4 linked regions of the Caenorhabditis elegans genome follow. The protein of the gene in region 4 interacts with the protein of the main gene of each other region in a pairwise test. Each region holds a gene or a part of one and is shown on either strand. Other genes may lie near its edges. The genes, in order: sas-4, rde-2, hcp-1 and rbm-26.

Evidence for each region.
Region 1: the proteins of rbm-26 (region 4) and sas-4 interact in a two-hybrid assay, tested with the Caenorhabditis elegans proteins (one study listed by BioGRID).
Region 2: the proteins of rbm-26 (region 4) and rde-2 interact in a two-hybrid assay, tested with the Caenorhabditis elegans proteins (one study listed by BioGRID).
Region 3: the proteins of rbm-26 (region 4) and hcp-1 interact in a two-hybrid assay, tested with the Caenorhabditis elegans proteins (one study listed by BioGRID).

What each region holds. Positions count from the first base shown.
Region 1 is NC_003281.10:8,313,815-8,320,426, reverse strand, and holds sas-4 (Spindle assembly abnormal protein 4), read left to right. Parts: upstream 1-1,838; 5' UTR 1,839-1,845; coding exon 1,846-1,938; intron 1,939-1,986; coding exon 1,987-2,082; intron 2,083-2,162; coding exon 2,163-2,507; intron 2,508-2,623; coding exon 2,624-2,843; intron 2,844-2,885; coding exon 2,886-3,418; intron 3,419-3,594; coding exon 3,595-4,038; intron 4,039-4,308; coding exon 4,309-4,467; intron 4,468-4,513; coding exon 4,514-4,701; intron 4,702-4,749; coding exon 4,750-4,809; intron 4,810-5,562; coding exon 5,563-5,851; 3' UTR 5,852-6,078; downstream 6,079-6,612. Other genes in the region: F10E9.10 (uncharacterized protein), read left to right, coding at 147-227, 278-382, 427-534, 581-697, 742-798; F10E9.11 (rRNA-processing protein FYV7), read left to right, coding at 1,289-1,356, 1,414-1,681; F10E9.2 (uncharacterized protein), read right to left, coding at 6,141-6,356, 6,404-6,528, 6,573-6,612. UniProt on the Caenorhabditis elegans protein: Required for centrosome duplication. Plays a central role in determining centrosome size.
Region 2 is NC_003279.8:7,279,997-7,284,464, forward strand, and holds rde-2 (SH2 domain-containing protein), read right to left. Parts: upstream 2,876-4,468; coding exon 2,640-2,875; intron 2,597-2,639; coding exon 2,446-2,596; intron 2,386-2,445; coding exon 2,236-2,385; intron 2,189-2,235; coding exon 2,090-2,188; intron 1,972-2,089; coding exon 1,912-1,971; intron 1,866-1,911; coding exon 1,464-1,865; intron 1,416-1,463; coding exon 1,196-1,415; intron 1,151-1,195; coding exon 743-1,150; intron 668-742; coding exon 657-667; 3' UTR 528-656; downstream 1-527. Other genes in the region: hint-1 (Histidine triad nucleotide-binding protein 1), read right to left, coding at 11-148, 193-315; pfd-6 (putative prefoldin subunit 6), read right to left, coding at 3,134-3,260, 3,399-3,523, 3,569-3,639, 3,687-3,744; F21C3.6 (DUF4200 domain-containing protein), read right to left, coding at 3,964-4,032, 4,131-4,214, 4,359-4,468.
Region 3 is NC_003283.11:6,592,166-6,599,709, reverse strand, and holds hcp-1 (HoloCentric chromosome binding Protein), read right to left. Parts: upstream 5,517-7,544; 5' UTR 5,485-5,516; coding exon 5,434-5,484; intron 5,377-5,433; coding exon 4,775-5,376; intron 4,731-4,774; coding exon 4,229-4,730; intron 4,180-4,228; coding exon 3,877-4,179; intron 3,826-3,876; coding exon 1,912-3,825; intron 1,865-1,911; coding exon 1,601-1,864; intron 1,549-1,600; coding exon 986-1,548; intron 937-985; coding exon 708-936; 3' UTR 502-707; downstream 1-501. Other genes in the region: ZK1055.6 (Protein F37C4.5), read left to right, coding at 3-455; ZK1055.2 (Nucleotide-diphospho-sugar transferase domain-containing protein), read right to left, coding at 6,076-6,289, 6,336-6,454, 6,502-6,669, 6,714-6,778, 6,827-7,049, 7,094-7,176, 7,456-7,544.
Region 4 is NC_003281.10:5,709,741-5,715,380, forward strand, and holds rbm-26 (C3H1-type domain-containing protein), read left to right. Parts: upstream 1-1,801; 5' UTR 1,802-1,845; coding exon 1,846-1,904; intron 1,905-1,951; coding exon 1,952-2,073; intron 2,074-2,124; coding exon 2,125-2,521; intron 2,522-2,609; coding exon 2,610-2,801; intron 2,802-2,867; coding exon 2,868-3,960; intron 3,961-4,006; coding exon 4,007-4,138; intron 4,139-4,191; coding exon 4,192-4,329; intron 4,330-4,368; coding exon of another isoform or gene 4,369-4,375; coding exon 4,376-4,408; 3' UTR 4,409-5,104; downstream 5,105-5,640. Other genes in the region: B0336.12 (uncharacterized protein), read right to left, coding at 322-405.

The sequences.
Region 1 (6,612 bases), 2.6 Mb from region 4:
CGGTATCCTTTAAACGATCAAGGCCGTTACTTATAACTTATAAAATTATATTTTACAAATAGTTATCTGCAAGTATCTACCCATTGACATCCTTATTTAACTCATTTCTTCTTTTTTCTTCTTACAATAATAATAATGTGTTCAGGATGGTCACAGTGATACCAAAAATAATAAGTTCTCCATATCCTCGGACACGCCTACCACTGTACCTCTACACTGTTTCCATCGTAAGAATTACCAATCAATAGAAAATTCAAGTTTACACCTATAATTCTAGATTATTTCCTGCTCTTTATTATACTGGAATCTTCTTTACTGCAAAAATTATGACTGTGTCGTTGAGAAGGAATTTCGATGGGGAAGTACTCGGCACTTACTACAGGTATCATACAATTTGGTACCATAAAGAAATGACATAACTTTCAGTACTTTCCGGTGATAGCAGCTCCGATTATAATGGTAATATCGTTTTCTTGGTTAATAATTGCAATATATTATTCAAGTAGTTCATGTGTTCTTACATTCAATTTTATGGTAAGTTTTATAGGAAGGAGGAATAAAATAAATATTGAAATTAAAGGAAATGCCATCTGCAGTACTTTGTTCTCTACTTGGTGGTATTAGTTCTGTAATAGAAATTCATTTTTCCATTGAAGTAAATCAAGTTCAATGGACTGATCAGTGGTTACTGTCATCTGTGGGTTTACCAATCAACGATTGTTTAAAAATCGATATTTTCAGGGATCTTCAATACTTTTATGCCTTTTACATGCTACAATTGCGTTCACACTTCAATAATCCTTCCAACATATTTGAATTTCCAATCTTCTTCAAATCGATGTGAAAAAACTTGTATCATTGTTTTTATCAAATATGAAACATTTTATAGGAATCAAAAATATTATGTGAACTGTGATATTTACTCTTGCTCAATTCATTTCATGTAAATATTATTTTGATACTCATTACTGGCATAAATTATATTTTCGAAATTCATGTCACGAGCGCGGATGATGAGGGACAATTCGAATTAATTCTCTTTTTCTCAACAAAAACAATTAAATTTTGAACCTCCCTCCGTTTTCTTTGAAAATGGCCTAGAATTGTGATGGCCGTGGACTAGCATTTTCCCTAGCACGACGGCGGGAATTGTCTGCGTCATCTTCGTCTTGCACGCTCTCTCGTTACCCCCCGCTGTGGTTATTATACCGTTTACCACCTTAATCCCTTCAAAACGCTTTTATAATTTCACATAATCTCTTCTTAGAAATCTCAATCGTTTATTCAGATGGGAAATCGATCAAAGACAGACAATGCAACTGCCGTGGCATCGCAACCACCCAAAAAAGTTAAATCGTAAGTTTTCTTTCCTATTTTCAAAACTAATATATCTGAAATCATCAACATTTTTAGGAAAAAGCAAAAGAAAATGAGCTTTTCACAAGCACAAGACGTATATCTTCGTCTGAAGCAAGAAAAAGAAGAGGAGAAACAACGAGAGCGAGCCGAACGAGAAAAGCGAAATGAGACGATTGCAGCGACAAATAAATCAAGAAAGAAGATGAATCAGGCATTGGCAAAAAGAAATAAAAAAGGACAACCAAATCTGAATGCTCAAATGGATGTACTTCTCGAGAGGATACAGAAAAGAGTGGATAAGGAGAAAAAGGAGAAGAAATGAACTAATTGTTTTGTCTTTTATATTTTCAGATTTTTTTTGTTGAAATGAAATTGTTGTGTTTTTAAAAATCGATAGTTTTATCGTTTCTTCGTTTCTTACCGATAGTATACTTTATTTTCTGAAATATAATTCAATTATTTATTAAAAACCTTTTCAGCCTTCAGATGGCTTCCGATGAAAATATCGGTGCCGACGGTGAACAGAAGCCTTCTCGGCCGTTTTTGAGAAAAGGACAAGGAACAGCAAGATTTAGAATGGTAGTTTGTGCAAATACAAGGCTTATCGAAATAATATATGAAGTTCAGCCTAGAAACAACAAAACATCTGCTGGTGCACCTCCAACGTCGGAACTTTCATCTGCTTCAAGTCCTTCTATTAATGTTCCTAGGTTTAGTCTGTCGGTAAGTAAAATATCTTAAATACAAACGTTATAAAACTGTGGTGACTAGTTAAATATAAATATTAAGTAGAATTATTCCAGAATGCTCTCCCGAACTCTGCCCGAACCGTGGACAGTGGAATATCAAATGAAGACGAGACCCGTCCACCAACCACCGCATCTCTTCCAATGGATCAACCATCATTGTCATCTTCGCCGGAAAATCGTCTAAATCCCGCACCTTCCGTTGCTGAAGAGCATGGCCACAGTGGACAGCACGCTGAAGAAGAAGAAGACAATGACACGGATGAAGTATCTGCAATGCCTTCTTTTGTGCCTGATGAACCTTCGACTCTTGTTAATTCAGATCATGAATTGTCTGATGATGCTTTAAAGTATAAAAATGCAGCTGCCGAATTCAAAGCTTTTGAGAGAAGAATGGATTCGGTAAGAACAGCCAAATCAGAATGATAATTGAAATTTTACATAGAATAGATTTACGTATCAAAAATCAAAACCTACGAATACTCTCTAATTCAAAATTTAATTAATTAAAATTAAAGATGAGATCAGCTTCAACAATCACAACATCACTGGCAACGCCATCATCTTGTGCACCATCAAACTCCTCTGAGCCTCCTACTCGGTCTACACCAATTATGAACGATTTAGGCGTTGGCCCAAATAATCACAATTGGCCGTCTTCAATGCAAGAATTATCAGGAATTTCTCTGGAAACACCACAGGCTCGACCGCTTGGCAGCAATAGAATTAATCAGCTTGGTAGGTTAATAACAAAAAAAACATGATTGATTAGATTTTTAGTTCGAAGTGAGGCTCAAACGGGAATAAGCCTTTTACAACACCATGAAAGACCTACTGTGACCGCCCCATTGAGACGAAATGATATGATGAACTCATCACGACAGAATCCACAGAATGGAAATGTTCAAGATGAAAATCGACCCGAGCACGTTTATGATCAACCAATACATGTTCCTGGATCATCACTGGACCGACAGAAACTTGAAATTGAAATTCGACGTCATCGTAACTTGAACATACAACTGAGAGACACTATTGCTCACTTGGATTATGCAGAAGAATCCGTGCACACCACAAAACGACAGCTCGAAGAAAAAATTTCCGAAGTCAATAATTTTAAGAAAGAACTGATAGAAGAATTTAAGAAATGCAAAAAAGGAGTTGAGGAAGAATTTGAGAAGAAGTTTGAGAAAATTAAGGAAGATTATGATGAACTTTACGAGAAATTGAAGAGGGATCAACGAGATCTTGAACGAGATCAGAAGATATTGAAGAAAGGAACGGGAGAAAGGAATAAAGAATTCACAGAAACGGTAATTAAGAATTTAAGCAAGAAATAGTTATTCGAGAAAAACCACGAAATTTCGATTGAAAATTTTTCTCAAAGCAAAATCTAAAATTTTCATTGAAATAAATTGAGAATTTAAAAAGTTGAAATTCTATTATAAAACCTTTAATTTAAAATCCAGCAAAACTTGTCAAATTTCAGATAGCCACTCTCCGCGACAAATTAAGAGCATCAGAAACCAAGAATGCACAATATCGACAGGATATACGTGTTCGAGACGAAAAGCTCAAGAAAAAAGACGAGGAAATCGAGAAGCTTCAGAAAGACGGAAACCGGCTAAAGAGCACTCTACAGACTTTAGAAAAGCGCGTAAAACAATTACGTACTGAAAAAGAACGCGACGATAAAGAAAAGGAGATGTTCGCGAAGGTTGCAATGAATCGAAAAACTTCGAATCCAGTGCCACCAGTTTTGAATCAAAGTGTTCCAATTTCGATAACATCAAATGGTCCATCTAGACATCCATCATCATCTTCGTTGACAACATTTAGAAAACCATCTACATCAAATCGAGAAAGAGGTGTTAGTTGGGCAGATGAACCAAATGAACAATCATTGGAAGCTGTACCACAGGAGTTTTTGATGGTAATATTTAGATCAAAGCAGGGTTTTTTTAAAATTGTTTTTAGAATATTGCTCTGAAAAAATCAATTCAAAAAAAATTTCAAATTATTTTTTCTTCCCGACTAAAAAATTAATATTTTTGAAAAATAGTTTTTTAAGTCTAAAAATTTACAGCTTACTATTAGCATTTGCCGAAAGTTCCGATTTTTCAAAATTCCCAGAATTAAAAATCAATAGTTTTCGAGTTACCGAAAATTGTCAAAAAAAAATTTTAAATCATGCTTTTTGAAGATGCCAGTCAAAGAAATGCCGGGAAAATTTGGAAAATGCACGATCTACAGAGATTCTCTTGGAGAAACATCTAAAGTGACGGATACAATAGCTAACGGTCTTCTTTTCGAATATTCCAATGGAGATCTTCGATGGGTTAATCGGCAGAACGCTGTTAATGTAAGTTTTAATTGGAATTTTGTCAATTAAAGTGACCAATTTACAGATCTACATATCCGCAGTTGATAAAACAGTCAGAATTGATCTCCCCACATACAATATTTCAATTATTCATACATTTCAAAGGCAAGTTGAAGTACTTCGTCCTGGAAATAACATAACATTGATAAGTATTAAACGACGAGAAGTTCGAACTGATTTGATTTATCAAAACGGAATGTATAAAACTGAAATGTAAGATTATTTTCTTTTTTAAAGTTCATCGGAAATTTCGTATTTCAGCTTCAATAGGGACGGAAGATATGTTACGAAGGATTTTAGCAATCAAGAAGTTTCGAGAAAGTGAGTCTCTATTCATTTTCCAATTAATTATTCAGAAAAACCATTAAAATCTCAAAACTATTACCCAGATGTTTAATTTAATTTAATTTAATTTATTACGATAGAAGATATCGTTAGGTAGAAAAAAAAACACACACACATTAATAGATACAAACCATCACAAGTGGTTACATAAATAAATTACATAAATAAAACGAAACAAAAATAAAAAAAGAGATGTGACATTTTGCGGCAAAAAATGTCTCGGCACGATAAAATTTAGTTAAATGGGAAAAGGCGTGCGCCTTTAAATATTACTGTAGTTTAAAAATCGCGTTACTGTCGAATTGTTGTTTGCCCCTTTTTTTTTTGATAAAAACATGTTTATTAGTTTAGAAAAAAGATAAATAAACCAAACTACAACAGTCTTTATAGGCGCACGTATTTTCACATTTAAAAATCTGTCCTTTAACGAAAAAATTGTAAAATTTGGCGCCTTCAAAGAGTACTGTAATTTCAAACTCAATTTGAAACAGAATTTTCATCGATTTTCCTTAGTTAGTTTTTCGATGAATTTTAATTTATTCATTAAAAAAACTCAAATAAGTATAACGATATTTTAGCAAATAATATATTTTCAAACAAAACATGTTTCTATAATTTTTGTCTAACCCAAAATTTAGGAATATGACCTCAATTCTTCAAAAAGTTAGTAAAACAGGTTTAAAACCCCGTTATAAATATTTTTGCCTCTGAAACCTATCAAATTTTCAGATACAATCCCGGTACACACACATATCGCGACAATCAATGTCGCTACGTTCTCGTCACTGATTACAACGATTTTGAGCTCGTTGAGCCAGAATTCCGTCTTCGTTGGTATCAGGGAGATCCGACTGGTCTCAACAATCAGTATATTCTCAAGATCATTGGACGACCTGAATGCAGCGAGAAAACATTGAGACTTGAAGTGAATCTTTCCACGTGTGAAGGTACATTGGAAACTGCAGAGATGATAGGCGATAAACGTCGGAAAACAACTTTGTTCCAGTGGAAAAAATGAGAAATTCCAACCCCTTTATTTTAACTTGTGGTTTGTATATCTATTCCATTGACATTATTTTTCACTCCTGAGTGCTCTAAAATTATAATTAATTCTACCTCCTGTAAAATCATATCAAATAATTCAATCATTTTTTACTATCTCAATTTTCACTTGCCCCCTCCCCCATTTCTTTCATATTGATCTTCATGGTTATTTTATTGACTGTTATAAACAATTTTAACTTTAAATGTTCTGCACAAAATTCGGGATTCAGATTGCAAAGATTTATTGGAACACTGGAGACATTTCAAGATGATCTCGGATCTTCTGCACGACTCGACGGACTCAAACTTTGAACATTTTCGTGTGAGATTTTCTTTTCTTTTTCCGCACTTTTCTTCTCTTTCTTCTCCTCACCACTTCCATCTTTCTTCTGATCATCTACATCCAGGAGCAGCATCTTGTGACGTGTAATCTTTAGATCACTGAGACGAGTTTTCGAATCGCCGACTTCAAGAGGAGCCTACAATCATCCTTATCTTTTTATATTCAGAATATCAAAAAACTAACCGGGTCACCTCGACCAGAAAACTCGCCTTCGCCTTCTTCACTCGATGATTTCTGAGTTCTCAGAGTAATCATATGGGTCTTACCGCTGACACCAAGAAGCGTGTAGAGTCGAGCCATCAGATCGTCTGAACGATATAATTGTTTAAAAATCTTAGATTCTTAAGCTTACGATAAGTGGCATCCGTTGGAAGGCTGACAACGACTGGCTT
Region 2 (4,468 bases), on a different chromosome or scaffold from region 4:
TTATAATTACCTTTGAAGCAGTAACCATAAGCTTTCCAATAAGCGCAGCATCCGAATCAACGGCATTCTCGAGCATATCAATGCGACGCTTAGGGATCACAAGAAAATGAATTGGAGCTTGTGGAGAGACATCATGGAATGCGAGAGCCTTAAATAAATATTTTATGTGATCGTTTGCCTGATCTTACATACCTCATCATCTTCAAAAATGATTTTCGCTGGAATCTCTTTTCGAATTATTTTTCCGAAAAGAGTGTCGTTGGCTTGAACATCTTTGTTAATTGCCGCCAAGTGGGCTTTATCTACTTCCGACATGTTTCTCTTTGTAAACCTGAAAAATGGTGGAATCGATAAAGACACCTTGCCTACAGTAACCCTGACCTAACTGGATTACGGTAAGCAAGACGCAAAGCGGTTTTAACCAAAGAGGAAGCCATACTAAAATATTGAAAAATGGGCAAAAAATAACCAATATGCAATATATTTCAAACGATGAAAACGCTAGACAACGAGAAATAAACAATAAACATGTGAAAATAAATGCTTTAATCAGTAAAATGATACAAAAAATAATCAAAAAAGTTAACACAAGAACAAGAATTAATGTACCAGAATACAATTTGAACCCATAACGTGATTTGTCGATTGTGCAGTTTTTACTTTCGAACTGAAATAATAATTTGAATAGAAAACCAAGAATTCTCCTAGGTTTCTTCGAAAACTCGGTTTCCCTCTTACTTACCATTCATGAAATATTGATTAGAAGACAATGGCGGAAGCTCTCGAATATCTCCATTTGTGAACTGTTGATAAGCTTCACCTCCCTTTCCAATATGTAATGAAACATTTCCAATTGGTTTTCGATGAACAACCCACGCGATTAGGTCAAAATCTGCTGATAATTTCGAATTCAAATGATTCAGAAGACGTTCTTTTGGAATTGTGACAAGTACTCCATTTGTTGCTTTCAAATAATAAAAATGATGATCCGAGTTCATCTCTGTGTTGTCATGATATTGCTCCACTACTAGTTCAGGTTTTGAAAGTGCGATTTTTACTTTCATTTCAAGCACTCCTCCGAAGCATCTGACCGAGTTTTTAAAGCAATCAATTTTAAGGAGAGAATCTGGCGTGTCTGGTTTCTTTTTCACTTAAAATTAAAGTTTTTTTAAAACATTGGTAAATTGTAAAATACCTGCAATATGTGTATATGGAATCTTGAAAATGAGCCTATCTTTTGTTTCAATTCTACGAGGCAAGATATCGAAGAATGCCACGTCTCCGAGTTGAGGGGATCTTTCCAATCCTTCACACGATCTTTCTTGAAGCAAAACGTTTATAACGTCTCTTTTGGCTGTGTACAAAATTGCAAAGCCATCGATTTTTTGCACAACGGTGCATAAAGCAGATTGAGGCTGAAATATGGTGATGAAGATTAATATTATTGTTCTGGCATTACGTACTTTTTCGGAATCAGTTTTATCTTGACGAAGCAGTTGAAGCATCGTTGGAGCTAAATCTTTAATAAACGGTCTCATCGGAATATTAGATGTTCCACGTGTTCCGTATGTATCTTCATCATCAATTTCATCTTCATCTGATAACTGATTTGAATCAATAACTGGTGCTGCTCGACTTGAGATTGTAGTCTGGGACAAGGATGAATCAACTTGATTCAATTCGATACTTTGGCTTCGAAAAGTTTCCGGAGGTATTTCCCGATTCTCTGACACAACTCTAGAGGAATTGTACGAATCAGATGTCTGCGAGTTCATTTGAGAATGCACGTCTTCTTGATGTTGACTTGATTGTTGATCTTGTACGTCGGTTTCGGGTGTTTGAACATATCCATTACCAGTCATAATCTAAAAATGTGATTACTTGAAAAATTCTGAACTATAAGTCACATACATCCAACAGTCTTGTATCATGAAGATACTGTACATCAGAATCAACGACTGGATTCGGGAGCTGAAATTATATTATGTAAACTGCAGGAGGTTGTGGCTTATATGTTCTGGGAAATTTTGATAAGCAAAAACCAAAATGTGAACAATTCAAAATGAACCAGGACACTTTTGCCACATACTGATTGATATCCATTTCGGCTTACAGCATCACAGGTGTGTAGCTTTTGTGGATCTTCATGCACACTCAATGCGACCCAACCTGCCAGAGATGCTTGAGCCTGCAATATTTTTATTTTAATAGTTTTTTTTAAAATCGATAACTTACTTCAACAATAAAACTGCGTCCATCATAGTGTTGACATGATGATTTGATCAGACTAAAGTCGTCAATAATATGATCATAGGAAATATCGTAACTGGTGAAATCATACAAATTATTTTTCCGATCTACTATTACATCAAATCGAGCTGTTATCTGAAAAATTATAAAAATCCGTACTCTTTATTTATTAAAACTTTTTCCATTTGAGATTACCAAAATTTCTCCTTCATCGTTAGCCTCATACTTCGGAAAGAATCTCGCCGATGAATTTCTGTGATTCGGCAAAACGTCCCAGTTTTCATATCCACAACTATTTGAGGAATCCAATACGTATTGTCCCACGAAGTTCTGACAAACAGTTAATCTAAAATTGCTAGTTAATAAAATCAGATAAAATAATGTCTAACTTTAGCCAGCGTCCTATCTGCAGGCTCTGAATATTTCCACTGATTTCGACAAATCCATCGATATTTTTGGTATAGAAAAGATAATTTCTGTTTCCATATTTATTGTAACCAACTACCAATCCATATATTTGGGTTTGCGGTTGTTGAATTTGTGGTTGGGGATTATACGACGATGATGGCTGACTTTGAGCATAATAGTGATTTGGAGGAAAATAAGAATGGTACCCATTATGCATCTGAATAGCAAGAAAATGAATATAGTTATAAATCAGAACTGATGTAATTAGCAATGACTTTTAACATAGACGTGAGCACAAATGGTATAAAACAGTTTGAAAGCATTTATTGTAAATGGTTCCCCGAAACAAGAAACTTATTTTTTTCATAGAAAAATTAATGTGATCTTCTCGTTTCGGAGAAACACCAGAGATGAAGAATAGGCAAAAAATAACAAATTAAGAGCAAAAAATATGAGATTCATAGAACAAACTGGATTATTTCTTCTGTGCTTGGGCTGCTGCTTGAGCCATCATCTGGAAGCTTTTTTGCATATTCATCACCTTGTCTCGCTGTTCCGTACACTTCTTCGAAATGTCTGAGATGCTGGCTTCCACTCGTTTGCTGAAAATTGTAATTAAAGTTTTGTTGCATTTTAAAACGTTTAAAGGTAAAATTTATTTGTTATTTTTATTTGTTTCGTGTAAATCAATAGCGTGCAAGAAGTAATACTAAAGAAACATGATAAACGTTACAACTCACGTCTCAGAGTCGATAAACTCAAGCCGTTTCTCCACAGTCGATCGAGCCTCCTCCAAATCTTGACGAACAAGAACCGCTCCGATGAGTTTGTAGACTTTCGAGTCGGATTCCATCAGATCAAGCTCCTGAATGAAGATAACATGAAAACTGAATCTCAAACTTTTTCTTACCGCTTTCACATTTTTACTCTCAGTTAATCTCATTTCCATCTCTTGGCGACTCGTGAAGTACTTTTCGCGGTCTATAATTAAACGATTGAAAAGATTGTTTAAATTAACAGTTACTAACCTTTTTCAAGAGTTCTGAGCTTGTTAACTTCTTCTTCGAATTTAGCCATATCAGCCATTTTGATCGTTTTTAGTGGGAAAAGAAGTGAAAGAAAACAAAATTGTGTTTAAAAATCTAGAAGAAAAACGGGTTCTGCGCCATCCTTCAAAGCGCCAGCAAGCTTTCTTGACGCATTTTCCGTTTTTGGCGGAAGTTCAAAACTGGATTGTATATGTTAACTTCAATTTTGTTATGCTTTTGCTAAAATTTCATTCAATAGTGACAATACGAAATATTTTCAATATAGATATTTCCAGAATCGTGAAAACCAACTTTGCATGGAATCTTGATAATATTCTTCGCGTATCTGAAAGTTTTAGCTTAATTATATACAATAATTAAATAAGTTTCTTGTAAGTTCAGGGTATTTCCCTAGGTTCTATAAACATAAAAATATATTCTTACCTGTTTTGTCTTTTTCAATTCTGACTCTAGTTTTGATAATTGAATTTCAGAAGAACGAAGTCGGTCTCCAGCAGCGTTGAAATGCTGGAAAAAAAATCAATTTTGTTTTAGCCTTGATCCACTTTTTTGAAAGTCTAAAAAAAATTGAATAAAATATTTAATATACACTGTATCCAAATATACTAATAAATCATAAAACAAATCGTAAAACAGAAACCATAAACTCACCGATTTTTCAATTTGTTGTGTTTGAATAAAATCATTTGAATCGGTATATAACTGCACTTTGATTGCATTTCTTGACTCCCGATAATCACTCATCACATTCTCAACTGCTT
Region 3 (7,544 bases), on a different chromosome or scaffold from region 4:
AGAGTCACATGAAAGATGTGTCACCAGGTGAACGATTCACCTGTTCTCTAGGCGTGGACACGGCCATTCGTATCGAATATAAGCCAGCCAAAAAGTTCCATGAAGAAGGCGGTTACATCACAAAACATTCAACTCATGCCACCGAGCAGACGATTAGTGTAAAGAATACAAGAAGTGGACCGCCTGTACTGTTAACAATCAAGCATCATGTACCACGTAGCACAGATGAGAAGATACGTGTGAAACTGACATCTCCAGTTGGCATTACCTCTGATCAAACTGATCAAATTAATTCAGAAAACGCTGAACCAAATGTTGGAATTATTCTGAACAAAGATAACAACTTGGAGTGGACTATCAAATTAGACGCTATCAGTTCGAAGGATCTATTGATTAAATGGATTGTTGAACATGCGAAAGGAGAGAACATCGAACTTCGCGAAAATTTGCAATGATAATAATCCTGTGAAATTTCTGAGCTGTAATATATCACTTTTTCACTATAAATGACGTCACCTTTATTCAGGATCTTCTTTGATTGTATTTTAATGAGACTAAAAATCGTTGATAAATTTAAAAACCCGTTTATTCTGACCCTAAAAGCAAATAATATTTGACAAGTAAATATGGGTTCAGAACGGGTATTCATGGCACATATGTTAGTGGGGGACGGTGAGAGATCTAGTGGGGTGAGAGAATCTTATAGCCTATTGGTGTTGGCAGTTTGATCGATTCTTCTTCGATGGAGTTTCGCGAGCCGACTTCTCCAAAACGTGATCCTCCGGATGATGATTTGAAGCATCTATCTGCCGGGCAGTAGTATTCGACATGGTTTGAAGACGATCTTGGAAGGAGTTCTGCGCATCTTCGAAGGCATCCTCATGAGCAGAGTTTTGCGGTTCGACAAGTGAGCTTTCGCGGCTCAGTTGTTTCACACTGAAAATAAAACGCTCAACTTGTCAATTTTAATACATGTTCAACTCACCCAAGTCTTGCTTGCTCGATCAGTCCCATTACTCGTGGCGGCGTCTTTACACCCTTCAGCTGCTTGATCTCGGACTGAAGTGTCATGATCTTGTCCTTATACTCCCGCTCGTCATCATCAAATGCATCACAAACTTTCTCCAATCGCTGGATTTCGATTTCAGCCCTCACCAACTTTTCCTCAAGTTCCAGAATACGAGAATGTGCTTGTTCCAGTGCTTCCGACTGTTCTTTATTTTCAACTTGAATCAAAGTGATGTCGTGTTGAGCTTGTTCTTCGACTTCAATGACACGACGGTCAGATGCTTCCATCTTCTCATGCATTTCTCCAAGCTGTCGTTGCATTTGCGAAAGCGATTGAGTGAGAGTGCCGAGTTGCATTGCCTGCGACTTCCAGACATTTGCTTCTTCCAGGCGAGCCTCAAACTGCTGTGAGATTGTTTCGATCCGCGACTCCAGAGTAACAATCGTGTTCTCTTTCTGAGAGAGTGCTTCCTCTGCAGCCTCGAGTTTTTCGTTTGCATTGCTCAAAGACGAGTTCCACTCCAATCGGATCGATGCTTTCTGTAAAATTTATCAATAAATTTGGAATTAAAAAAATGTCCGTTAAACTAACCTCCACTTCGAAAGCTTGCACGAGGTTTAGCATCTGCTCCTGAACTTTTTCGAGTTCTTCGACTTTCTCCTGCTTTGCGTTTTCGGTGTCAGCTAGGGCCTTTTGTGCAAACTCAATTGATGCTTGAAGCTCTTTAATGCGTGAATTCAACTCCTCTGACTTGGCTTGAGATTCTTCGATTGTACTCTGTGATGTCCGAAGAGTATCAATTACGGATTGGAGGCGTTCTTGTTCTTCCTTGTGCTTTGCAGCTTGATCCGCGTTCTGAAAAAATACAATTTTATAAATATAAAAGAGAAATTTCGTCAAACCTCAACATCTCGGCTTTCAATCTTGGCCACTAGTTCCGCAAGATGTTCTTCTTGATCCATCATTGCCTTTGTAGACTTTTCTACTTCTCCACGAAGCTTATCAATAGTCTCAGCGGAAGTCCTCGTCAGTTCAATGAGCTCGGCGTTTGCAGATTCCAACTGAGAAGACATTTCGGATAACTGATCCATATTCAAGTTAGTATCAATTTCCATCTGCTCATTTTGACTTTTCAGCTCACAGATTTGCGATTCAAGTAGTGACACTTTGTCGGTGAAGTCTTGGATGGTTTTGCTTTTTTGAACGTTTTCAGCTGTACTACTCTCGATAGCAGTTTCTAACTCCTGAATTTTACCTTCCAACGAAGTTACGAGATCAGAAGATCTGCCTTTTTCTTGAACAGCAGCGTCAAGTTCAGCACGAAGAGCTTCATACGATTCACCTTGTTCTGATTTAAGAGCTTCCATAACGACTTGAACAGCATTGGTGTCCTGGCGAGCAGTTTCAAGCTCGCTTTGAAGATCAGAGACTTGCACGTTTAACTCTTGAACCCTGGCATCTGAAGTTCTCAAGTCTTCCTGAAGACGATCAGTGAGATCCGAAAACTGCTGAGCCAAGTCGAGTTGAGATTGAAGCTCCAAAACCTTACCGTTGGAATCCTTCAAATTGGCACGAAGATTGTTTAATTCCTCCAAAGGTTCCTTCAAATTCTCCAACAAAGATTCCAACTCTTTGACTTTATCTTCAGAAGCGACAGCATCAGCCCGAGTTGATTGCATTTCTTCTTGGAAGGCGGTCAATGAAGCTGTCATTTCAGAAATCTGTGCTTCAGACGAATCCAACTTCAACTGCATTTCCTTATTCGCTTCAGTGATGACAGAAAACTCCCGACTAGAAACTTCAATTTGCTGTTCGAGTTCAGACACTTGAATATTCAATTCTTGGACCCTGGCATCTGAAGTTCTCAAGTCCTCCTGAAGACGATCAGCGAGATCCGAAGATTGCTGAGCCAATTCGAGTTGAGATTGAAGATCCAAAATCTTATCGTTGGAATCCTTCAAATTGGCACGAAGATTGTTTAATTCCTCCAAAGGTTCCTTCAAATTCTCCAACAAAGATTCCACCTGTTTGACTTTATCTTCAGAAGCGACAGCATCAGCTTGAGTTGATTGCATTTCTTCTTGGAAGGCGGCCAAAGAAGCTATCATTTCAGACATCTGAGCTTCAGACGAATCCCATTTCAACTTCATTTCCTTACTTGCTTCAGTGATGACAGAAAACTCCCGACTAGAATCTTCAATTTGCTGTTCGAGTTCTTCATTCTTTGCTTTCGACATGGCAAGATCGGCTTGAAGTTCTTCAAAATTCCTCAGAGAAAGTTTCAACTCTTCGTTTTGCAAATTGGATGACTGAACCTCACGTTCAAGCTTTGAAAGCACCTCAATAGAAGACTGAAGTTCGTCAATCTTTACTCTTGACAGTTCAATATCCAATAAATACATTCGATGAGCCTCTTCCATCTTCAACTCCAGATTTTCCACCTTAGTGACGGCAACATCAGTTTCTTGTTGTGAAGATAAGAGTTGAGCAGCCACCATCTCCAATGAAGACGTTAGTTCCGCAATTTTTTCGTTTGAAGATGTCAGATGTACATTCAACGAATTGTTTTCATCAGACTGTCTCTTCACTTCTTCCAACTGCATCTTCATCTCAGAAGTCAATTCCTGGATTGTAGCTTGCGATGCCTCCAACTGTGCATTGGGCTCACTCGTGGATCCTGACTCAAGTTTTGCAGCTTCTAACTGGTTCTCCAAATCAGAAATCTCTTTAATCATGAGCGATCTGAACTCTTCGAGTTGTTGCTCGAGCTCCACAACACGAGAATTATTGGTGGCTTCAAATCGCAGCTTTTCGACCTGAAAAATAAAAATATATATATTGATTTGTGATTATTCAATTAAGCCAACCTCTGCTTCAAGGCCGTTCACTTTTTCCTCGGCATTCTTGATGTTTTCGGAAGCTTTTTCTTGTACCACCATTAACTCTGCTTGAAGTTTTTCTTTGTTCTCAGACGACAGTTGCACCTCCAATTCAAGTTGTTTGATCTTGTCGTGAAATTCTTGGATCTCCAAGTTTGCTTGTTGGGATTTGAGGGCGAGTACTTCTGCCTCCAGTTTCTCCATATCCTCAATCATCATCTTGCGAACAAGTTCGTGCTCATACTTCAGCGATTCACTTGTTGTTTGTGATTCGGTGCGAATCCTTTCCATCTTAAAAATAATTAATTAAATTTACTTCGGCAATAAATTCTATAAAAACCTCTTCACTGAATCTCGCTTCTTTCTCTACTAGATCGCGCTGAAGACTTTCGTTCATTTGTTTGGTATTCTCAAGCTGTTTGATTGCTTCTTGATGGCCTCCAATTAACTCCCGAATCCGATCTTCCGAAGCAGTCGCTCCTTGTTGCATCGAATCTACTTTCAAAGCCTTCTGGGTCAACTCCTCGATTTGAGCGTTCAGAGCAGCAAGATTGTGTACCAACTGATTCTTCTCTTCGTCAGGCTCTTCCAGCTTCAAGCGTAACTCCTGAACTTGTTTCTCGAGAACTTGTTCTCGTGCCTTAGCGGCTTCGCGGTCAGATTTTGCCTTTTTCATTGCAGAATCTACTTGCTGAGTCAGCATCTTTTCCTCAAAAATTCGAGCTTCTTGAATCTCACTGAGCTGTTGACTGTGACTTTGACGGAGAAGCTCGATCTGCGACTGAAGAAGTTTGATTGACTCCTCATGCTCGGAATTCTGCTCCAACATTTCAAACTCGTGTCTGAAATTATTTTGTTTTAAGCTATAAATACGACAATTTCTTACAGTGAGAAGTCAATGTGACCTTTGACAGGAAGCACTGGGGACTGGGGGACATCTCGGACTGGCTTTGTAGGCTGATCTACTCCTTTGGCGATTTCCGTGAGAAGCTGTGGATTAGATACTGTTGGAGTACATTCTCGGCTCAGAATCTGGCTCATTGGAGTACGAGAAGCAGTAGGCGTAGTCTCTCCGTCAAGTGCCAATTGATTATCGAAATCATTGGACAGTGTGGCATCGGCGTCCGTCTCGTCGCTTTCTTGAACCATGCTCAGGTTGCTCGTGCAATTTGAGGTGTCGTAGAGCTCAGATTGTTCTAAATTCACATCAACATTGCTGCCCGGAGTGATGGAAGCATCGTTGGTTCCCACGAAGGATGCATCATCAGTAGCCAAAGCTGTTACTGTAGACAAATCCAGTAGACTTGTGTTGTCGGCAGGGGTGATAGAAGAAGCAGAAGACGGGCGGGAATCATGCTCGAGGCAGGTCTCCTCCAGGTTGCTATCGGCCATATTGCCCGACGAAGTTCCAAAAATGCGTTTCGGTTCTCTTCCTAGTCGTGATTTAGGCGTAGCGGCGGAAAATGGCGACTCGGTTTGCTGGCGCTTCTGAAATAATTTATATTGTCATTGATTTAATTAAAATTTTGAGAAAATTCAACTTACATTTCCAGCTGAGCGCTTGTTCTCGTTGTCGAATATCGGCGATTCGTCCATTGTGAAAGAAACGTCGATTTATCTATAAATTAGCAATAATGATTATGGAAATTACACAAGGGATATTAAAAATCAAAAAGGGCGCGTGATTTGAAAAAAGGAGGAAAAAAGTACTAAACAGGAAATTAAGGGGAAAATAAGTTTTTAGAAATATATCTATTAAATACTGCGTGTGAAACTTTTTGACGTTATGTGGCAACAAATAAAGTAACAAAACAGTATTTTCCAAATGTCAGATAACTGAAAATGAACGTTCATGAATAATGAATGAATGAACGAAATGAAAAGTGCCGGATTCCCGCGCGTGGTGATTCAAAATTGAAACCTTCCCGCCATGTGCGGTGGAGCACGGTTGCTCTTACCGACCATAAGGTCAAAATATAATAGGTCTACAAGTGAAAATCGGTATATTTTATTTATTTTGCAGTTTGTGGCCTTGTAAAAATGGGGTTGATTGGAACAAAAAAATTAAAAACCATCGTTTGCGTTTTATGTAGTTTTCACAAATTTTTATTCCAAAAATATATCTTGTCTTACAATTCAAGTAAATATACATACACAAAATCTGAATTTAAAGTTTAAAATTGCTGGTTACTGAAACAATAAACCCATCATCCGGATATAAGACAAAACTTGCTGAAATGCAACATTTTCTTCGAACATTCTCAGGCTTTTCAGAATTTCGTTTTTATCTCCACGAAGTCGTGAATCGTATGACCATGTCGAATTTTGAGGACTACATTTTTGAAGATCTATAGGCCCACTCAAAGGATTATACCAAAAATCTCGTCCCATTTGGCTAGGCCTGTAATACTTGAATAATTTTTAAAAAATTCAGGTAATTTGCCAACTCAAGCTTCACATTCGGCGTTTCTCTCAATTGATTCGTTTTCCAACCATGGAACATGAAATCTAACTCTGGATGCCACATCATTGATGTCAGCCAGCCGTCTTTAGCCCATCCTGTTCCCTGTACAGTTAATATTGTAGATGTTGTGGTATTAATTTTAAACCTACTTTTTTCATAATTCTAACTTTTCCAAAATCAGTGGATACGCCAAATATTGCTCGGATACATGACTCGTAGGTGAAGAGATCATCAAAATTTTTAGAATTGTTATAAGCTTTTTTGCATACTTTCGTATTTGCAGAAGCCTGTGGGAACAACTTTTCGGCAAGGAAAATCTAAACAATAAAATAAAAATTGAAATAGGAAGTTACCAAGTTACATGAAGTGCTCCATTATCCGTTCCATGAAAACTATTTGGTAACTTGTACTCATAATCAGCAAACTCTGCAATTTTATTAAATTCATCACAAAAATTTCGAATAAAAAACTAACCGTTTAATAAATCAATAGCATATTGAGTATTTCTTGCAATATAAGATCCAGCCATGATCTCCCAATTATAGAATCTATCATAGAATGTAACATCAATTCCATCATCCAAAAACTCTTCAATTTTTCGCTTTGGATTCACAACACCAATATCAGCGTCTAAGAATAGGATCGCATCAAATAATGGGAGAATCTTTGCGGAAACACAGTGGCGGCGGAAAAATTTCTGAAATGTTAGCTTTTTTTAAATTAAAAAAAATTAGAACTTACATCTTTATGAGCACATTTGAAATCAGTATCAACTGCGAGAACAAATTCATAATTATGGATTTTGCAGTAGCAACGAACCGTTTCTGAAAAATAACAATAGAACGTCATAATAAAACATTCCAAAATGTTTTTTAAAGTTTTTAAAATTTCCAGTCAAAGTTTTGGAAAATTGGCAAATTTTCGAAAAATATGGGCTTTAAAGAAATCCAGGGCAATGTGGCATGTTCCAAGAATGTTTTAACATAAATAATTAAAAAAAAATTAAAATATTAAAAATCCTTTTAAAAAAACCAGTTTTTTTACTTTTTTTAAATATTTGTTTTTTTAAAATCTGTTTGTATAACACTATTAAAAAAACATGCGAATAGCAATATCATAATTCTCCGGTTTTGTGTCATTCGTAACAACCATCACAATGGCTACTCGATTAACAGGATGAACCTCTCCCATG
Region 4 (5,640 bases):
AAAAATAATTGAGTTTAAGTTAACAATTAAGTTACATCAAGATAACAAAACTGAATGTTTGAGTTTTGGCATGTGAGATCAGAAAAAACAAACCCTGACTAAAAAATGACGTTTTATTCAATGTACTACTCGCCTTTCTCAAGAGACAAGCGGGTAAAAAACGAAAAGAAAGTATTTCCGAGTACCTGTAAAATGAAGCGAAAGAAAAAGTAAATAGGAACGATATGGATGGTGCTGGCGGATAAATGAATGAGTTTGAGTGTGAGTTCTTTCTCCCCTTCAGTGAGTGCTGCTCATGCCGCGATTTTTTTTGCGTTGTCTCTATCTCTGAAGCTCGCTGGCTGTCATGTTGGATCTGATTTTCGAAATTGTAGCGGAGGATGCTTCCTTCTTCTCTCGCAACATTTTGACATCTGGAATTACTTAATTTTTAGTTTTTTTAGTATCCGGATTTTAGAATAGTACTTTCCAATCAATACAATCAGATTTTAACGATCAAGTTGGTCTAGTTCAAATTTATTAACTTCAAAAGCTTACTTTTTTTCGAATTTCTATTTGCGCCGTTTTGTGATCCTAAAATAATATGAAAGCTCGTAATTTTAGAATAAAAATAACTTTTTTGATAATACCCAGATTTTTCGATTTTTGCTTCAAAAATAAGGTGCCTGGTCTCGACACGTCTTTTTATAAAATACAAAAATACGTCCGCCTTTAAAGAGTACTGTACCTCTAGACTTTTGTTGATACGGGAGTTGCATCGATTTTTCATAGTTTTTCGTAAAAAATATATGTATTTATTTAAGAAAAAAAAAACTGAAATAGAACAATAAACCCACAAATTCTTTCCGATAATGAAGGCAATTATTAAAAAAATCGATGAAAATTCACCATCAATAGTTTTTAGGAATTAATCTTTTACATTTTCCCGGTGGTATGTTACAAGGTTTTATCAAAAATATTGCCAATTATATTTAGACATTCAGTTTCATCTTATCATCATCATCATCCCAATCCATCTTTCGCTATTCGTCAGAATCAATCAGTTATTTTTTCTTTGACAATCAATCACCACACACAATGTTCCGCGTGTAAAAAGAGTACGGTAACCTGGAAGTCCAGAAAACATTGACGGAGACCAGTTTGTTTCGACCGCCCGTGTGTATTTCTTGTCTAGTCCTCCTCGCTCCTTCCATGTTTCGTATTTATGCGCAGTGTTTCCACACACACTGCCGCTTGCCGAGATACGTACGCAACGCCTGTTGGCTGCTGCTGCCAATTTTTGATCATTATCGTACCCCATTGGTTCCTCCTTTTTTCTTGTCCATTTTAGGTTTTGTTCTTTATTATTATCAGTGTATCATTTAGAGATTATAATTCTACTGGCTCTTTTGTTTCAATGCACTCAACTTTTAATGTTACCAATTGTAGTTGAAAAAAGCAAGAATGATAATTATATTTTCAACATTTTGCATTTAGTTTCATAGATTTTAGTGCAAATTGTGTAGTTTATTGAGATCGAAAAAACGAAGTGTTTTTCTTCGAAATGTTCTGTTTGTTCTAACTTTCTAAATATTGCGAAATCTTTATAATGTTATTTCTCTTTTCGAAATTTTTACTTTCTGTTCAAATTTTGAGTATTTTTAATAACTCCCTTATAATGAAAACCCTAATTACACATTCTCGCATTTCTTTGCGTCTCATCTTCATTCACTCTTTTTTTTTCTCTCTACTTTCACCTGCTCTCACTCTCTCATTCTCTCTCTCGCTGTGATCTTCGTTTCCCAATTTTTTAACGAATTTTTTTTAGACTCGGTAAGAAACCTGAAAGAAAATATCAAAGAAAGCATGCACATCGACAATGAGGATGCTCTCTTCGATTGGCTCTCTGATGAGCTCTCGCCAATGTAAGTTTTTTCATTGATTAGACAGCCTACTTATACTTTTTTTTAAGAACTGACGCTGATCCAAATGCTCTCGCGAAATACGTGTTGGCTTTAGTCAAGAAACCGGATAAGGGACATGATGAGCTGAAAGCATTTACCAATGAACAGTTAAATGTGTTTTTAACAGACCGTAAATTTCATTTTTTGAAATGCTCACGTCATTCAATTAATACATTTACAGATACTGCTCCATTCGTCGACAAAGTCTTCGAAGCACTCACAAGCAAAAGCTATATGCCGGCATCAACAGCGCCTACCTCTGCTTCAGCAACTGCGCCTGATCTTAAAAAAGAAAAGGCACCAGCTGAGAAGCCATCGAAACCTACAGCTCCACCGGGTGTTCAAAAGTCAAGCAGCTCTCCTTCAGCCAGCAAAGCCGAGTCCCGCCCATTGCGCAAGCGAATTAGTCCACCTCCATCGGAAAATCGAGAAAAGGAGAAGCAGTCTCGTGACAAGGAACGCCGTCGTTCACGGTCCCCAAGAGATCGTCGAGGCCGCGCGACTACTTCAAGAAGTGGGCGTACTTCATCAAGTGATCGTGATCGTCACAGCAAACGTCGTTCTCGATCCAGATCACGGTAATGAATTTTAGAAAAGTTAAATCCCATCTATGTGTAACCATGGCTAACTTTGATTCGGGTTCTGATTAACTTATAACATTTTCAGATCATCCAGTGGCTCAAGAACTCCACCATACAAATCAAGAAGCAGTCGTCGTCGTTGTAAGGATTTCGAGGAACGTGGATATTGCATTCGCGGAGATCAGTGTCCATACTATCACGGTCGTGACCCGGTTGTAGTTGATGAGAATGCACTTGGGTCAATGGTTCCACTCCCGGCTACCGCTCCTAATTTCTCGTACGTCCCATGTTTATCTAACAATTCTTTGCAAAATCTCCCTTCTCATGATCTAATCTCATACAGTTGCAGTCTGCCTCCACCCGGATACAATCCGCTCAATCCACCTCCACCAGGAGTCGTCGTTGCCGCTGGTGAATACAACCCTGAAGCTCCTGCTCTCAACAATTACAGTATACCACCACCGCCGATCCCTGGACAATGGCAACAACCACATGTAGCTGCACAATATGTTCCCCAATCTGTTTCTTCTTACTCTCAGCCACCACCCGCCGCTGCTCAAGGAGTTGTTACTCAGCCGGGTTCTTTCCGTGGAGCACCACGTGGAAGAGGAAACATTAGAGGTCGTGGTGGATTTGCCCGTGGAGGTTTCACTGGAGCGATCAATAGAGATAACTGTACTCTTCAAGTTGCCAAGATTCCACCAGAGATGAACACGATCGCAAAGCTCAATGAACATTTTGCCACATTTGGAACTGTCGATAATATCCAAGTTAGATATAATGGAGAAATCGATTCAGCTCTGGTTACTTATGCTTCCAAATTTGACGCTGGCAAAGCTTACAAGTCTCCAACTCCAGTTCTCAATAATAGGTTTATTAAAGTATTTTGGCATAATCCTGGAGGCGAAGGATCCGAAAACGCAACTGGAAAGCCGTCATCTCCAACTTCTCCACCAAAACCTGTCGAAAAGCCGAAGATTGCCACAGTGCAAGAATCAAAATTTGTCAGTGTTGCTGCTCAAAACTATCGGAAGCAGATCCAGGATGCTAAAGAACGATTAACGAAAGAGAAGAGTATTTTATCGACGCTAGTTCAGGCTCAGAATCAGCATAATATTATTCTTGACAAGTGGATGGTTAAACAGAAGGAGTTGCTCATCAAGGCGAGAACGTCTACTGATGAAACTGATAAGAAGAATGCAACCAAATTGGTCAAACATCTGCATAAAAAAATAAAGGCATGCAAGGAAGAAGTCGACGGAATCCTGCTCAAAATATCAGAAAAGTCAATGGTGGTTGATGAGATTGCAGCCCAAATTGAAGAGCTTAAAAATCCACAAAAATCGGACGATTCGACCCGGAAGCGAAAAGCAGGAAGCGATGGAGACGAGCCCCAATCTAAAATGAGCAGTGTTGTCATCGTTCGAGGTGTAACAGTGAGTTTTCTTTAAATTGTAGATTTTAAAAACACATTATTTCCAGGATGAATTGGTCACTGATTTGATGGCACATATGGAGAAGTTCGGTGAGGTTTTTGATCACAGTGTTAAAGCCGACGACGATGGTCTCATAACAGCCGTTTTTCCGTTTAGAAAAACAGGTGATGCGTTGAAAGTGAGTTTTCAGTTTAAACGGGACTCGATTTTAAATAAGATGTTAATTTTTAGGCAATGGCGGATGGCAAAGTTCTGAATGGTGTGGACCTCGAGATGGAATTGAAGACGGAGCGAATCGAGGAGATCCCTTCAACTGATACGAACATGTCTGCCGACCAGTTGCTCGCTGCAATTCCGAGCAATCTTGAGGTAACTTGGTTTTCACTTGAAAATTAAATTTAAAAAAAGATTTCAGTCTGACGAAGAAGATGACCTGCTAAATGATTAGTCCTAGTTATATTAGAACTTTGATCTCAAAATATTGTCTTGGTGATCTTACTCGTTGTTTCCAAATGGTTACTTTTCTAGTTATCTGGCTGGTTAGCCTATTTAACCTCAGATTTACCTCAATTTTTCTTCCCGTTTATTATTGTTGCCTATCAGAAACTGTTTCGATTTTTTCTATTGTATATCCATTATAATTTATCACATTTCCTCTCTTATCATTCTTTAATTGTCTTCAGTTTAACTGCCCATTTGGCAATACTTTTTCATCTTCATTTTTTATTGTTCTTGGCTAAGAACTTGTCATGTGATCTGTTCAGAATCGCAATGATTATTGATTTTTACCTGATTCCTTGACAAGTTCCCATTATTTTTTCGTTCATTTTTGTTGTTTGCATTATTTCTATCGATATATCTCATTGATGAAAAAGCCAGCAAAAAAGAGCAAAAGAGAGCAATAACTCCACTAAATGAGAAAAATAAAGTAAAAGAATACATAATGGCTGTGATCTCGAAAAAAAATCAGCGAAAGAATAAAAGACGGGCCACTGAAAAGTGAACGAGTACAAAAAGAGCCCCTCCCGAGTGACGAGTAAAAAACGAGTTAATTTTCAATAAAACACAGGTATTTTTGCGGAAACCGGTGTGTTTTCGTCGTATTTAGCCGTGAATTGCCAGAAAATAAATGATTTTAATTTTTTTTTTCTTTGTTCTTTCTTAACTTTATTCCTCCAATTTTTCTTGCTTCGACGTTGCAATCGTCACATTTTATCTTTGATTTGATCGTCATTTCATTTATTTCCGAATTTGAACGCAAAAAGCTCGAAAATCAAGGTTTGTGACTCCTAATAATTACTGCAGAAAGTAAGAAATTCTCGGCATTTTGAAAGGCGGAAAGATGAACTATCCTAGATTGGCGCAAAGGCATTGATCTATACTGTCTGCGGCGGCCGGTTTCTATTAAGCTTTCATTTTTCTCCAGCACATTCTTCAGAAGCGCCACATTGCTTTAGTCGGAAATGCGGGTCATCTATTTAGAAAGTTTGGCGCTTTGTATTTGATTTAATATTAATTTTCTCATCTGATTCTATTTATTAGTCACAGTATCTCGTGCTGCACTCTTGTGACACGTGTCCTTTTTTCAGAGTTTTTAATTGCGTCACGATTTTCAAAATTTCTCAACAATGCGCTCGCGTTCAATAGGTTTTTCTTCTCTCAAAAAGCATTTTTCATCAC